Linked DNA regions of Nothobranchius furzeri. The protein of the gene in region 1 interacts with the protein of each later gene in a pairwise test. Links are inferred from orthologs where the notes say so. Each region holds a gene or a part of one and is shown on either strand. Other genes may lie near its edges.

The links. The genes of interacting proteins can lie anywhere in the genome.
Region 2: the proteins of bend7 (region 1) and usp20 interact in binary tests that used the Homo sapiens proteins (3 or more experiments, as listed by UniProt). The two-hybrid records come from large-scale screens. The link is inferred for Nothobranchius furzeri from reciprocal best matches to the Homo sapiens genes BEND7 and USP20.

What each region holds. Positions count from the first base shown.
Region 1 is NC_091744.1:72,598,128-72,606,256, forward strand, and holds bend7 (BEN domain-containing protein 7), read right to left. Parts: upstream 5,401-8,129; 5' UTR 4,643-5,400; coding exon 4,579-4,642; intron 4,105-4,578; coding exon 4,036-4,104; intron 3,962-4,035; coding exon 3,620-3,961; intron 3,470-3,619; coding exon 3,350-3,469; intron 3,268-3,349; coding exon 2,942-3,267; intron 2,562-2,941; coding exon 2,454-2,561; intron 2,382-2,453; coding exon 2,264-2,381; intron 2,185-2,263; coding exon 2,071-2,184; intron 1,995-2,070; coding exon 1,953-1,994; intron 1,556-1,952; coding exon 1,497-1,555; 3' UTR 373-1,496; downstream 1-372. Other genes in the region: prpf18 (pre-mRNA-splicing factor 18), read left to right, coding at 5,836-5,901, 6,421-6,498, 6,795-6,821, 7,961-8,062.
Region 2 is NC_091746.1:62,094,768-62,102,393, reverse strand, and holds part of usp20 (ubiquitin carboxyl-terminal hydrolase 20), read left to right. Parts: intron 1-77; coding exon 78-218; intron 219-315; coding exon 316-415; intron 416-1,127; coding exon 1,128-1,197; intron 1,198-1,300; coding exon 1,301-1,414; intron 1,415-1,517; coding exon 1,518-1,596; intron 1,597-1,740; coding exon 1,741-2,248; intron 2,249-2,340; coding exon 2,341-2,490; intron 2,491-3,550; coding exon 3,551-3,663; intron 3,664-3,902; coding exon 3,903-4,075; intron 4,076-6,550; coding exon 6,551-6,645; intron 6,646-6,721; coding exon 6,722-6,755; intron 6,756-6,833; coding exon 6,834-6,879; intron 6,880-6,960; coding exon 6,961-7,141; intron 7,142-7,295; coding exon 7,296-7,422; intron 7,423-7,504; coding exon 7,505-7,626.

The DNA.
Region 1 (8,129 bases):
GGCACAATCCACAATGGAAAAACCTCTTTCGAGATGAGTTGTCCTAACAATAATTTAATGCTGTTCATTTTTACAGCATTATGCCTTGTTCGATATGTCTGATCTCCATTATATTGGCAAATTTTCTTTAAAGGTGTAGAACACTGAAATCCCACTTTTAAGATCTTATTTTTTATTATAATCGGCCACTCTGAGATGCAGGCTGAACATGAAAAAATTCTATGCCTAGCTCCTGCATGCAAACTAGATGGTGAAAACTCAACGATTTGAAAAGACTGACAGATCTACATCACATTGTCACCAAACATTCATGGGGTGTTTCTTAATGTGAAGGAACTTTGACTTGACGTCTTGGTCCTGCCCCGGTTGCCTAAGAGAAACATCATCAGGAACCGCCAAGGTGTGTTCCAATGTTCATGTTCTACCGAGGCATCCTAGCTGAGCTGAGCAAGGATACACGGGAGGTGCCTTGTAGCCTGGCCCTGGTCAAAAATTTCCCAGAATATAGCATATATATATATATATATATATATATATATATATATATATATATATATATATATATAGTTGCCTATAGTAGTTGCAGATTCGGTTGCTAACAGGTATAAGTTGCTTACATATGTACACAATTTAAAAAGTATAAGGCTTGTTATACGTTTATATTGAAACTCATACGCATAAAATATAACGTTACCTCATGTATCACGTGACAAGACATGACCGCCGTGGAAGTTGTGGTCATGTCATGCAAGTCTGTTCCATTTAACCGTTTCCTTTGCCCAAGGAAGGACAGTGTCCTCGTAAGCGAGGCCAGGCTCCTTGACATTGAGAAATACCCATGGACTCACCCATCTTGACCACAACAGGGAAGGCTGTTGTTTATTTAACATCCAGGAAACAGCAGAGAATGTATTGGCTAGTAGAAGCTAACTGTTAGCATCAGCAACTTCACCACACAGCAGAACTCCTCCAGGCTTATATGGAAATAAAAATCAACGTTGCAAAGCAAACAGAGTCAGTGGTAGAGCTGTTTAGCTGTCCGAATTTCAGGAAATCAGACTCCAAAACATGCCGTCTGAAGCTCAGCTGTGATGTGGCTCACTTCTAGTTCCTGGAAATGGTGCATCAGTGCACCCCAAGTACGACTAATAAGGCATTCATTCCTACTGCAAACATATTGATTGAATGAGTGTTCCACACCTTTTAGGCATTTGCTTAAACCGTGAACAATAAATCACTTATTTTATTTTATTACATCAGTATTTCCTGGCACAAAATTCCAGATCCAAAAGGATGTCAATCATGGACTGCTCATTTAACACAATGTAAACCATATTTGCTCATGATGGATGCTTTCTCGTTTGGCCCTTTTATTTTCTTTTACCCATTTTACCTAATAGTTAACAGTTGCAAAATGGCATAATCCAACACTTACAGTTAGAGAAATAACGAGGACAAAAATAATCAGCTGAACTCCAGCCGAGGCAGCTGTTGAATCAACACGTTACATTCTTCAGTGTGTGTTCGTCACATTCAGGTTTCTTATAATCACAGCCTGTATAGGAAGAAAATATTGTTAGTATATAATTTAATGCTGTGAACTATAAAACAAAACAACAGCGAATTTTATGTAAGCATGTGTGGCAAGTAGAGAATTTAGATATTTGACAGCTGTGGCTACGTTGTAAAGGTGAAAGAGTGAAAACGATGCACGTTGTGAAGATAATTAGCTGACATTTTGGGAAGCTGCATGAAAATGTCAAATGTCAGCGCGAAAGCATGCCATAGCCTGGTGAGCCAATGAGGGAGCCAGAGACACCAATTTGTGGGTGTGTTGTGACAATGGAGTGAGGAGAGGTGAAGCCATTATGTGCTCTGAGGGGGGCTGATGAAAAGGTGATGTAAGATGAAGAACCAGTGCAAATGTAGGCAGTTTTGTGTGAGGTTCTTACTGGTCGATGGTCCAGTTGAGCTTTCCTCAGCTTCTGCAGCATCTATTGACCCAATAGAACAGCTTTCGATATGCAACTTGTTTATTTTACTTAAAGAAAACAAATGACTGCTTCAGACCTCGTTTCAGCCTCCTCCTTGCAAGTTTGATCTGGTCTTGAAGGATCTGCACCCAATCTCGAGGCCCTGGCAACTTCTCTATTCTGTGATTGGTGCAGTATTTTTCTGTAAACACTGGCCACAAGTCACTCAAATAATTAGAACATTTGTCTTTATTATGCCAGCAACAAAGAGTGAATTGATCTTGTTTTACCTTTAATTGCACCCACAATGTTTTGGTCCAAACCCTTACGGTTGTCATTGAGCCCACGTTTCCTTTTGCCATTTGGCAGAGAGTTGGCCAGAGTAGCGTCATCAAAGAAGGCACACACCTAAGGACAAAACACAGCTCCTGATCTTAGAAGTATGTTTAATTTTTGCTTTTTAAAATCCCAGAAGCGTACCAGTTTGCGAAACAGCAAGCTGCCAGAGCGGGTATAATTTACTAGGATGGAGTCCAGTTGGGCCTTGGAGATGAAAACATCATAGTCCTCTGCAAGACGAACGTCAGACTGTGAGGGAGTGAAAAGGAAATATTAATCATTATGGTAAAGTTATCAACCAGGAGAGGTGATTAAAGCAGTCTTTATGAAGGCATCACCACCTTTAGCATTATAGCTCCAGTACTGTGAATGTAACTTTAAAATTTAACTTCCTGAAATCTTTTCAAATAGTTTATCATCAGAGTTTAGCAAAGGAAAGAAAAAGCAGACCCTCCCTCAGAACTCTGCCTCTTAAACAGGATTTGTACTTTCATCAAAAACCTAATCCTAAACATACATTGTGTCCTCTAGTGGAGGATCTAGGTCCTGCAGGTAGTTAATGCCAAAGAGTTCAACAGTCAAATTTTAGCCACAGACTGAACCCTAATCAACACCACTGAGCGTGTTACCTCTAACACTTGATGCTCCTTTGGTTGGTTCAGGGGAGGATCGTGTGTGTTGCTGACCTGAGGTGGCTGCGCAGACACATTACAGGAAATCAAACCAATGTTGAGTGCTGATGAGTCTAGTTTCTCACAATCCTCCCTCCTCATGGACTCAGAAGTAACTGGTTTAAGCACTGAGGAAGATGTGGGTGCCCTTCTGGTGCTGTACACACTGAGTGGAGCCACCTTATAGATCGGCCTTCTCTTTTGGGGTGTACGCCGAGGAGAGGAACCTGGACCAAGGGAAGGTTGGCATGGTGATCCTGCCTGTTCTTTCTTTTCAAATGGTGCTATGGAGGAAAAAAAATCACAAGAATAAAAGATTTCCTTTAGGTTGTCCATATATTTTGTATAAGATTCCTCCTTTCTGACCTTTTTGAGTTTGCATCAGCCTCCTCATTGCTCTCAGTTCCTGGAGTATAGCCTCTAAGGTGTCTTTACAGTTACACATGCAGCAGGGGATTTCAGGCACAGCAGGAGGGAGCACTTCTCCTGCAAAGTCAGTGTTGATTTGTTTAGTCACTGTCAGCTTTAACATGTCCAATGTGCTTTCATGCTGACGTTGACCAAAAACTTAAGAGGAAATTGAAGTTTTTGCAAACATTTTAAAATATAATGACCTGAGATTCAAAGATTCCCTACCGTTTGTATTACTGGGTTTGACTGAGTCCTTTAAGCTGCTGAGGCTCCTGGAGCTTTTGGACAGGGTGCTATGACCACAGGCTTGACCGTTTAGAGTGGGGCTCGCTATGGATGAAGATGCTGGCTCAGGGTCCCCCTCAGAGCTCCAGCTGCGGTGACGATGTGATGCAGGAGATGGAATTTGTGTCTGGTGCAGGCTGTTCAGATCTTTATCCTGGGGCTCCTGAGGCAAGCTGTTTGACTCACTTCCAACCTGTTGATATGCCCTCCCAGTCTTATCACTCAGAAGTCTCATCATACCCGTGATTTGCCTCTTGATCCCCATGCTCTCATCAAGCCAAACTGCATTTAACAGAAGGTGGTTAGAGCATCATTTTGCAGTCATGCAATATATAAAAAAATAATCAGAATACCACCAGGTACAGCTGCATCATTAGCTCCCTCGTTGCCATTCTTGCAACTTGCAACATATGAAGGGTCACAATCTGCACATAAAATTGTTTTTTTAATAACAAAATAAGAAAAAATTGCAGCAAAACTTGTGATGCAAAGTGTCTGCAGACTGGTGTGCTCTGATGTAAACCAGCCCCCCTCCCATCCATGCACAAACCACCACCTGTAGGTATGAAGTAGTTTAGAGAAAGGTATTTAGTAGCAAAAAATAATATATAAAAAGCTTCGAGTCGCATGACATAAATGCGCAACAGATGTGTACGTTTTTGATTAATTATTCTTCTTTTTGAAAAATTTAAACGCCTGGACCATGTGAGGAGAATTTCTGTTTCGTTTTCTTGTTTGAAAGGTTGGCTCTTGGGGATTTATTTATAGAAAATCGATGCACAGACTGGGTATTGTCGTGGCCATCGCTTTTGTCTCTGCTGCTGGCACACGGCGCCAGACAAACACCCAGACACATGAGCGCGTCTTGTTAAGGTCTCGCTTTCATTCAGCAGCATTACCTTCATCCGTGACCAGTTTAAAGCTCTGGGATTTCCTTCTCCGCTTCCGTTCTCCAAACTCCATCCTCAACGGGAATATCCAGCAAGTCGTGCCGTCGGATTTCGCTCCAAGACAAAATCTGTATTTTTTTTTATTTTTTCACTCAGCACAATCACTGTCCGTCTGCTTCATTAATCAGTTAGAAAATTCGCCTATTCTTGTCATCGGAAGATTTCCCAACGTTTGGGTGTAAAATTCTCCAGGAATAAAAAATTGTGGACATGCATCCCCTCTCCCAGCATGACGGCGGTCCTTCCCTTTCGCCATGTAAATACATTAATGACTTTATTATTAAGAATTCGTCACATATCCCTTTGCGCCACCTGATGGTATCCTTTAAAAGGTCGAGCACAAGGCTTTTGCCACTGGACAACAAACTGAAATCTAAGCAAAAGCAGTCAGGTTGAAGGAGCTACAGAACTTTTTAAAAGGCTTTTTGAATTAAACTGGATCTAAAACGCTGCTCACAACAGAATTTACTTGTTTAACAGCATAAACATGATGTGACAGAAAATATCTAATGTGGCATAAAAAGGTCAAACTCTATTGAGTATTACAGGAATCCAGTGTTGTCTGTCAAAGTTTGGAATACCTAGATATTTACATTTACTTTCCAACCATTTTTCCTCTAAATGTTCTCCAATTAAGTCTTTTTTCATGCCACTACTGTTGTCTTTCTTTGAGATGTGTCTAATTTGAAACACTTTTGGAGGCTTTTATGTAATTTCGTCTCCTTTTGTTATTTTTAAGCGTTTCAATTTTTTTCAGAAACACACACACACACACACAATGTACAACTGCATCTATACATAAATAATATAAATAGATGCAGCTGTACATTTTCATTTAATTTTACTGTGTTATCTTAAGAAAATTCAAATAGGTTTATATATAATTTATAAATTTGAGAAAATCTGATACAACTAGTGTAGCTTTATACTTTTCAAATTTTAAAGTTTTTAGTGTAAATGAAATCTTCTTAACATAGCCATATAGGTTCATACCAGGTTCATTCTAGAATAAAACTGTTCATTCCAGAAGTGTCGCATTTGGGAGTTAGTCTTTTATTTTGAAAAAAGGAAATGAACTTTTTAAGGCTCTTATGTTGAATTTTTTGTTTCCGTTTTTAAGCCCTGGACGTCAACCTTTTTCTACATTTGATGTCAACACTCTTCAGCTATCCGCAAAAGAAGACATTTTCATAATATTCTTCTGAAATGGATATACTTAAAGCTGAAATAGCAAGAAAGAGAAAACTTCTAGAGGAAAAAGAGCTCATTGATGTGAGTATTTTGTGGTTTTTAATCTGCTTTTGTTAGCCTAACATTTAGCTTTGTTAGCTAGCGTTGAGTTAGCTGGAAGTTTGAAGTCAACACTTTCCATGATTATTGCTTTTCTTACTCTCGTCGGTGCTCTTATGAACTCTGCACACGTGGAAAATAACGTTACATGTATAAATTTAAATGTGTCAGTAAGATCTTTACGTTGAACGTAAAAAGCGGATCTTGAAACGTGCTTCAGTCATTTTTGTGTAACGCGTCTTACTACCTTGTTGCTTTGAATTTCAAATTAATTGTGTGTTGTGTTTCTAAACTAAACGAATTATTTAGCTTGTTCTCTGTCAATTGTGATTTTTTTTAAATCGGGTGGGTTATTGCACATTGTTTCTTGGATAAGAAAGAGAGCAAACGTTAGCATGTAGCTTCTTGTTGGGGAGTTCCTGTGTTATTATGTTCCTTTAACTGCCCTACAGGTTGAATTTTCAATAGGATTAAACATATCAATCAACTTTTTCTCAACAGGACTCCAAAAAATTCTTCAAAAGAGCTGATCTGGCTCGCAAGGAAAAAGAAGAGTACTTCAAACGCTGTGGATTAAAGGTTAATGTCAAGATCAGTTTGCATTACTTTCTCGAACACGCTCCATTACATCTAAATAACTGTATTCCTATTATTTTTTTCTTTAGGTCATTGTCAATTTAGGAATTTTCCTAAGACTAGTTGTTAAAGATCCCTTTCAGCACAACAATTGAATGAAACTTGGTGGAGTTTGTTACACAGTACATGAACAGTTTGCTTAAAAACAAAAGGCTAGGACTTAATGTGCAGGTCTAAATCAGTATCTGTGTTTACTGTGCTGTTTTTCTGCGACCTGCCTCTGCTGCCTGCATCTGTAGGTTCAGGCAGAGACTCCCGAGAGCCAGGTATGGGATTGTTGAGTGAAAGTAGTAAACAGGTTGCATGATGAAAGGATAAACACTCAGTGTCCCAAATGCTTCCGCTTCCTTGGCATCCTCTCAGAATGAAGTGGCATTTCATTTGATGGGGACTTTTTTTCTTGGAGGACATCAGTTGATGAGGGTTGTGAAAATACAAGTTCTTGCAGTTTATGCCAAACTTAATTGGCATTTTTATCCAAATAACTAGTTTTTTATTTTAAATCCAACAAAGTAAATGCATATTATCTGCTTAAAATTATTGAGCTGTACCTAAACACACTTCCTCCACTTTAACCTTTCTCAGAACAGTTTATAATTTTTTGTTTTGTCCCAGAAATACTATTAACAACCCCAGTATATAATGTTTTTGTGAAGTTCTAAAATATTTTTTTGAAAGGCAGGGTAACAAGGAAAGGAAGCAACAAATGCAAGCTAAAGTGGGACACAGCCACTCTCTGGATTTCAGCATGGTGTACTGGGCTACAAAGTCAAAGCTCTGCTCTTTATTTTGCAAATTAATTTGGACAGAAGCTGCAATATTTAGACCAAGTTCAAGTGTTTTCTTGTTTTGTGTTATTAGTTGGCCACACATTCCAAAAGTTTCATAAAAAAATTGCAATTCTGTTCAAGTTTTTTAAAGCTTTAAAACACTAAACCCTTGAAGTGATTCTTCTTCTTCATGTGTTTTGTTTATTTGAGCAAGAGACATGTGTTTTTGGTTTTAAGAAGGCCTTTTGTCACCATTTTATTGTTTTGTTTTTTAGATTGGGCTTCTGAAACCACAACCTGACAGTGCTGTATTGCATGAGTCCCTTAATGCATGATGTTGTTTTCCAGTCATCTTTGTTTTAAACTGAACTGTACATGTTTTTCCTGCAACAAGTGTTAGAATGTGCAATGTTCAGACCACATCTAATGAAATCAATCTGATTACAGCAACACCACATTATGACATAAAGATGAACATGTGAATGTTGCTGAATCAAGTTTGATGGCACATATTCATTTCAACACTTTTTCTACATATTTATTTATGTAAATGTTGCAAGAAAACACATTTTCAGTGTTGTCTCAACTGTCTTTCATTAATGTTGGTATGTTTGTTTTTTCATTTTGTCCCTAAGATTGACAAGAATGAGGAGAATGAACCCTCTACTTCTTCTAATCCAGTATTGGAGCTGGAATTGACCGAGGAGAAGCTGCCGATGACTCTGTCCCGACAGGAGGTGAGCAAATTCGAAACAGCTTGTAGGTATGGACAATATATCGACATCAATATCTGTATCGGCCGAT
Region 2 (7,626 bases), on another chromosome or scaffold:
TAAATGGCTCACATCTTCAGCTGTGAGAGCATGAGCTCATTTATATCAAGTTATTTTTTTTTGTGTGTGTTTTGTAGACCAAGAAGCACAACCTGACCGTGAACCTGACAACCTTCAGGATCTGGTGTTATGTGTGCGAGCGGGAGGTGTTTTTAGATCAGAAACCAGCTCTGGTTCCTGTTCCGGCCGCTCCTCATCACTGCAAAGCCACAGAGCAGGTGGGTTATCTCAGGTTTCCTGATTATTTTTTGTTCCTGTCTGATCGACAACAAAAAGCAGCATAGAGCTTATATAATGTGTTAATTGTTTTCCCAGGAGGCAGTTCCTCTGGCAGCAAGTCACCCACTGAAAGCAGTACCAATCGCTGTGGCGGAAGAAGGGTCAGAATCAGAGGAGGATGAGCTTAAACCCAGAGGTACAGAATAATAAAAGGAGTTTGCAAGGATGACCGAGTGGAGCCCAATTTCCTAAATATCCATTAAAAGCGATAGACTTCAAGACTGATTTGTCAGGTCGCCGCTTCCTTTAACTTAATCAAAAACACTGCCATCCCCTCTCAAAAATAAAATAAAACGAGAGCCAAAGACATCTAGTTGCAGACACGGAGCAGCTTAAAGAACGCCTCGCGACAAAAGTCCAACGATATTAATGTTAATACAACCGTGGCAGAACAAGAACGCAGCAGACTTTTAATTTGTGTCAGGAAATTACAGGAAGTTTGAGTTTAGAGGTGGCGACCACATGAAGAGGTGGAGGACAATGAGGGGCAAATTCTTCAGAGTAAAAATGTCTCTGAAATACAGAAACGCAATGTAAACACACAATAGTAAACACGCTAGAGATGTGACTGCAACGATGGCGGGATACCACAGGAAAGTGCTACGCCCTCTGCTGTCTTGGCAGAGAATTGTTTCACAACACTGACACCAACGGAGACGTGTGGAAGAAAAACATCTCCGTCAGTGTGTGCGGGCACCAATGTGTCGACGGAAAAGTGGAAACCAGCCTTTAGAGTTTTACTTACAAGCCCCTAATTTAACGCAGTAGTTGAATCTTCTGATTTCTGCATCTTAATGTATGAAGAAGTCATCCCAGACCTTTGTGGGTCTTGTTTTTGTTGCTTTTAGGTTTGACAGGCATGAAAAACATTGGGAATTCCTGCTACATGAATGCTGCTCTTCAGGCCCTGTCCAACTGGTGAGTTCACCCTCTCCCTCTGTCAGTGGGGATGTGTCAGCTCCTCTTGTGTTTGTCCCTAAAGCAGCTGTATTGATGCGGTTTGTCGTTCTCTCTCCACCAGTCCTCCTCTCACTCAGTTTTTCCTGGACTGTAGCGGGTTGGTCCGGACCGATAAGAAGCCGGCTCTGTGTAAAAGCTACCAGAAACTGATCTCAGAACTCTGGCATAAGAAACGGTATCAAACACTCACCTGAGGCTATTCAGTTTTACATATATAAGATGATTTATTAATATATATTATATATTTATTTCAAACTCTCCTCTGACTTCTCCCTCAGGCCCAGTTATGTTGTTCCCACCAGCCTGTCTCATGGCATCAAATTAGTAAACCCCATGTTTCGAGGTTATGCCCAGCAGGTAAGCGCTCAGTACGTACCTGCTAACCACCTGACAGTGGAAATGTAAATGTTTCAATTAGATTTGTTTCATTTTTACAGCAGAAACGTCCCTGATCCTCTTTTTGGTCATATTTTTAAATGAAATAATCTCGTGTTGCTCTAGGACACTCAGGAGTTCCTACGCTGTCTGATGGACCAGTTACACGAGGAGCTGAAAGAGCCGCTGACTGAGTGCAGCCTGAGTGTCGAGGGAAGCGACGGGGAGGAGAGGAGAGACGGGGACCGCTCTCCATCCGAAGATGAATTTCTGTCCTGTGACTCCGGCTCCAGCAGTGACCGGGGGGAGAGTGGAGGGCTGGGCGACGGCGAGCTGCTCCTGCAGGACGAGTGTGACGGGTTCAGGCCCCCGTCCATGGGGATGGCCGGAATCGTCTCTCCAGCGGTGATCTCGGAGAAGGAGAGGCTGAAGGAGAAGAGGATGTCTGGCTCACCGCTGCGTGGAGGCTCACAGGAGATGGATGAAGATGCGGATGTGGACACATCAGCTGAGGAGCAGGCTCCTTGGAGGACAGAGGAGGAGCAGTCAGCTCCAGATGCACACACCGAAGTCCAAAGTCAGGAAAATAACCAGACATCTGCTTCAGGGCAAGTCCAGAGCAACAGTACCTCAGGTAGAAGACCAGCAGGAGTGTTACGTTTAGCTTCTTTCTTTTCTAAATTGTAACGTTAAACTGCGTGTACGTAATATGACGTGTGATTCTAGAACCAGATAATGAAGCATCAATGCCCCAACCGCAGTCCAGTCCCTGCAGTCCGGTACGGACTCTCCAGGAGCTGCATCCCAAACTGTCATCCAGTCCACCACGCTCCAGCCCCCTCCGCTCAGCTGGACCTGCATACTCCTTCAAAAAGGGTGCCTGATCAGCTACTTCTGGGGTTTCTGTTTTACACCTTCACACCTGTGCATATTTCACCCGCCAAAACAAATTATGGGCAGAGCAGCCATAAAAGCTGTTGAACTTTATCCTTCTTGTTTAAGCTGCAGGTGACAGAATCAGTTCAGATTGACTGTGGTTCATTAGCATTGCCTGAAGCAGAAGAATTTATTCACCTGTTAGTTGAGGGTGAAATGAAGACTTAACTGTGATGTTTTATTCAGACGTGGAACAAAAAAGTTTAAACAACACTTAATAAGTTTAACGTTCCTTCCTCCAGCTGCTCCTTCAAGGCTCTGCCGATGTTCACTCTGGTTTTAGCTCTTTGTTTTGCCTCCGTAGACATTACTCTCTTACTTTTACTTCCATGATGCCAACAAAAAAGCAAAATTCTTCTTCTTCCACTTTTTACCAACAGTCAGCGAACCGAATAAGCTAGCTGTTAGCCGTTATATTAGCTACTGGCACAGTAAACAGCTATTGCCGTAAAGCAGGCAGAGACCTCTGACAAGTGTTCCTGCCCAAACCACGAAACTGTTCTGCTCAGCAGAGGGTTACAGTGCTGTTCAGTGTGAAGTTGCTCATGTTTCTGCCTCAAGAATCTCTGAACCCAGTTTGAAAATGGTGTTAAAATCTCTTTAGTGTTGATTTAAATACAGAAAAACCTGCAGAAGACTTAGACGTAACTTGAAACTGATAATAATAATAATTAAAATTCAACTGATGAAAATCTAATTTCTGTTGAATTTAGGTTCATCAGAATAAGAATAAAAAAACTAATGAAACCGACTTAAGTAAATATTATGGTACTCCAATAGAAAAGATAAGCTAAGGGGCATCTTGTAACTGTTTCTGTTCAACCACAAGTCTTTGTGTTGTTTCAGTAACTACTGAGTATTTGTCTCCCGTAAGTGGAAGAGTCCTAACGATTTATGTCTGTAAACGAAGAAAAACTGTGATGTCGTTATACGATTAGATCTGCTTGAGACTCTGGCTGATGGCGTTGTTGGTTGAGTCTGTCTCCTTCGTGTCTTCCAGCTCAGCTGCTGCTCAGTTCCAGGAAGAAGAAGCAGTCTCACTATCGCAGCGTAATCTCAGACATCTTTGACGGCTCCATCCTCAGTCTGGTCCAGTGTTTAACCTGTGACAGGGTAAGATGTGCTTCATGTGTTACAACACCAGGGGGAGCTCCTCACGTAATCCAACTCAGAAATGTTCTGCGTAATCACAGATGAAGACATTTTATATAGATAGAAATTTGACTTGTGCTTTTTCATTTGAGAGAAATAATAGCTGTTATGAAATGAATAAAAATGTTGCAGGTTAACATTTTATCTTTCTAATGACACCGTCTCATGCGTTGTGATTCAGCTCTGTGGATGTGTGACAGGTTTCCACCACGGTAGAGACCTTCCAGGACCTATCCCTGCCCATTCCGGGCAAGGAAGACTTGGCGAAGCTGCATTCCTCCATCCATCAGAACCTGCCAATGAAGACCGGCGTCTGCCCCGACACCTACGGCTCACAGGGCTGGATCGCTTACATCATGGACTCCATACGCCGGTCAGTGAAGCACATTCTGTTTAAAGTGGTAGTCGCACGCGCAGTAAACTATGAAATGATGATGAAAACACGTGAAGGGTTTTTGTTTTATTGCCAGATGCAGGTTAGAAAAACAGGACTGCAGGGTTTGTGTTTCACTATGAATGTGGGCAAGTAGCATCTTGAGTTGTCATGTTCTCCCTATTTATTCGTAAAAGTTCGCTTCATTTTTCTGGAAGTCGACCACATTTGGAATTCCAAGTAAGTGATCATCCCGTGCGTTGAATGCAGCTGTTTTGGGAAAATGTACTACAGGTAAATGCAGGTGAGGACATGCAGGTAGCTCTGCCTAAACTTTAGAGGCAACAAATGCAGCCTTGCGCTCTTTTCAGTTTTCTCATGTGCTTACCTTTCTTTTGTTTTTAAGGCGTCTGTATGATTACCCTGCAATAGACTCATCACATCAGCAATGACGCATCACTTTTTTATTTACAGGAAACGGCCAAATGTAGCCGGTCATCGTGAAACCCAGACTCCTTTTAAATATTTAGGCGTTGCAGCTGAATTTGAGTTTAAGCCGGCTGCTTTAAAATAGTCTGAGTTTAGTTTTTCAGGGCCAACCTTGAATAGTGTTGGGATTATGGTTAAACAGTTGAGGAAAATAATTGTCCAAGGCAATGAGAAGAAAATGCATTCATTATCTATGCTGGGTGGTGGTTTATCATCATCGTCAGTTTGTGATGAAAACAGTTTTATGACATCAGTGAGTAGATTTCCCTTTATTTTAAATCAATGATGTACTAATTGAGACTTTCCCTTGCATTTGTCACGGCTGCAGCTCATCCATAGGTGGCGCTGGAGTTCCACCCTCAAATGTGGGGGAGAAAAAAGTTGTGTGTGTTCATTTAACAAACATCAATTATGATGATCTGCAATGTTTGTGGTGAATTAAAGACGCTATGAATTAGATTTAGCCTGGCAAGCCAGACTAAATAAATGTATTATTTAGTGTGGCCACACTCCATTGACAGCTCTCAGTTGTGGGGCAGGTTCTACCGTTGTCTTTCAAATGATCTCCGCATTCTACTGGACAATGACTGTGACATACTCTTGTTTCACTCTGTTGCATCATCCCACCCACCAGGCATATAGAGTGCCCTGATTGGCCCACAAAGCGGACAAAGCTCTGTGATTTGTTCACCAAGCAGATAGAGCACTATGATTGGCCCACCATTATGGACCAAATCACAGCTCTTTATGTGTTTGAAACCCCTCTAGAGAGCTGTGATTGGCTAGCCAGAGTCCTGGTAGGAGCTGCTGAGGTTCCAATGGAGCATGCCTAGACCAAACTTTGCAAAGCAAGAATTTGGTCTAGTTCACTAGGCTAAATTAGATTAGCTCCAGTTAGCCTGCTGAGCTAACGGAAGCTAACCACCGTTGGTGTGTTGTTGCTGTGTTGAAATTCTAATTCCATCTTTTAGTTCTTTTTAAAACACAGAACGGTTTTATTTACCTGCAACGTTTCGTTTGCGGCTGCGGACTTCGTCAGGCTGATGAACTGAGCCGCGTGCGTCTTTAACAGCCTTACTGTCATTTAGTTATTGTGCACTTGTCGTCATTTCCCAACTGTTCATTTCTTTGCTTTCGCTGATGAGCTAGCTGATTATTATTAGCACATCTGCCTCACCAAGAATCTTTCTTGTACCAGCCGCCTCAGATTTGTCATGTTAGGTGTTGGAGCAGAGACCATCAAGTTGTAACTAGTTATTATTCAGTAGCTTGCAACTTTAGAAAATGTCATCATAGGTGAGTCATGCCGAACTTCAGGACTTTAGTTAGGGTCTCACCCATCTTGACTCACGACGGGGAAGTGCTGTCGTTGGTTTAGCATTCAGGAAACAGCAGAGAACGTCTTAGCTAGCAGAAGCCAACCATTAGCATTAGCAACACAGCAGAACTCCAGGCTTGTGTTATTTGTGGAGATGAAACATCAACGTTGCAGCGCAAATGGAGTCAGTGGTAGAGTCGTTGCTGTTAGCCAATCAAAGAAGAGATGTCCAAATATCAGGAAGTCCTGCCGTCTTCTGCTCCACTCTCTGGATCACTTCTAGTTCCTGAAACAGGAGAGCCAGAGCTTTTTTACCTCTGAGATCGACTAACAAAGCGCTCATTTAGACCACCATTAATGTACTGAAAAATGAGAGAACTTGGTTTTATACAATTAAAAGTTGTTCCAGCTCTGGTGCTCTGTTTGCAGCTGATGGAAATGAACTTTTGTACTTTAAAAAAACTTTTTTCCCCATGAATTGAAAAGCTTTTGTTCTGCTTAAACTGGAACTCAACAGCCTGCTCAACATTTTACGGTCTTCTGTCGGGTTGTAATAAGTTTTAAATAGCTACCTGGACTCTTGGCTGCTTCACCGTTTAACCATCTGATTTGCAGAAGCCTTGGGTCTGATTTCTGCGTGCAGTGCTGATTGTTGTCTCATTAAACAGGTTTGTTGTCTCATGCATCCCCACTTGGTTTTGGGGGCCCATGGTTACTCTGGAGGACTGCCTCGCTGCCTTTTTTGCTGCAGATGAGCTGAAAGGTGAACAGAACTGAAATGTGATGTTCGCCCCATTCAATGTGCTTGAACTCACGTTTCTGTTCGTCATCTGTTCCAGGAGACAACATGTACAGCTGCGAGAGATGTAAGAAGTGAGTATGTACAACGATCCAGGCTTGCTTCGGATGAGAACACTGTGTTCTTTTATTAATTATTTTTGCCTGTAACAGGTTGCGAAATGGGGTCAAATACTGCAAAGTGCTAAAACTCCCTGAGGTATGTGTTTTATCTTTTGATTTCAGTCTTCCTGCAGATAAAAAGTAAGCTTTACTGAACGTGAGTATGTGTCTCGTATAGATTCTTTGCATTCACCTGAAGCGTTTTCGACACGAGATCATGTATTCATTCAAGATCAGCAGCCACGTGTCGTTCCCGCTGGAGGGCCTCGACATGCAGCCTTTCCTGGCTAAAGACAGCCCATCTCAAGTCACCACCTACGATCTGCTGTCAGTCATCTGCCATCATGGCACGGCAGGAAGTATGAGAATACATCATTTCCCACAAGCTGTGTTTCGTTTCTCTGTGGTTCACCAGACACTGACCAAGCACCTGCACGAGTTGCTTGATCTTATCAGTTTTTAGTCAGCAGAAAAACTGATCTTCTTGCATTTTCTCATCTGTTTTGTGTGCAGGTGGTCATTATATAGCTTACTGTCAGAATGTGATTAACGGTCAGTGGTATGAGTTTGATGACCAGTATGTGACAGAAGTCCACGAGACGGTGGTGCAGAATGCAGAGGCCTACGTTTTGTTTTATAGGTGAGCATAAAAGCATCGGATCGAAATGGGAACCGTCGGATCTTTGTTTAGGTGTGACCGTGTTTCTGACGTTTTAACGTAGGAAAAGCAGCGAGGAGTCGGTCCGAGAGAGACAGAAGGTGGTGGCTCTGGCCAACATGAAGGAGCCCAGCCTGCTGCAGTTTTACATCTCCAGAGAATGGCTGAACAAGTTCAACACCTTCG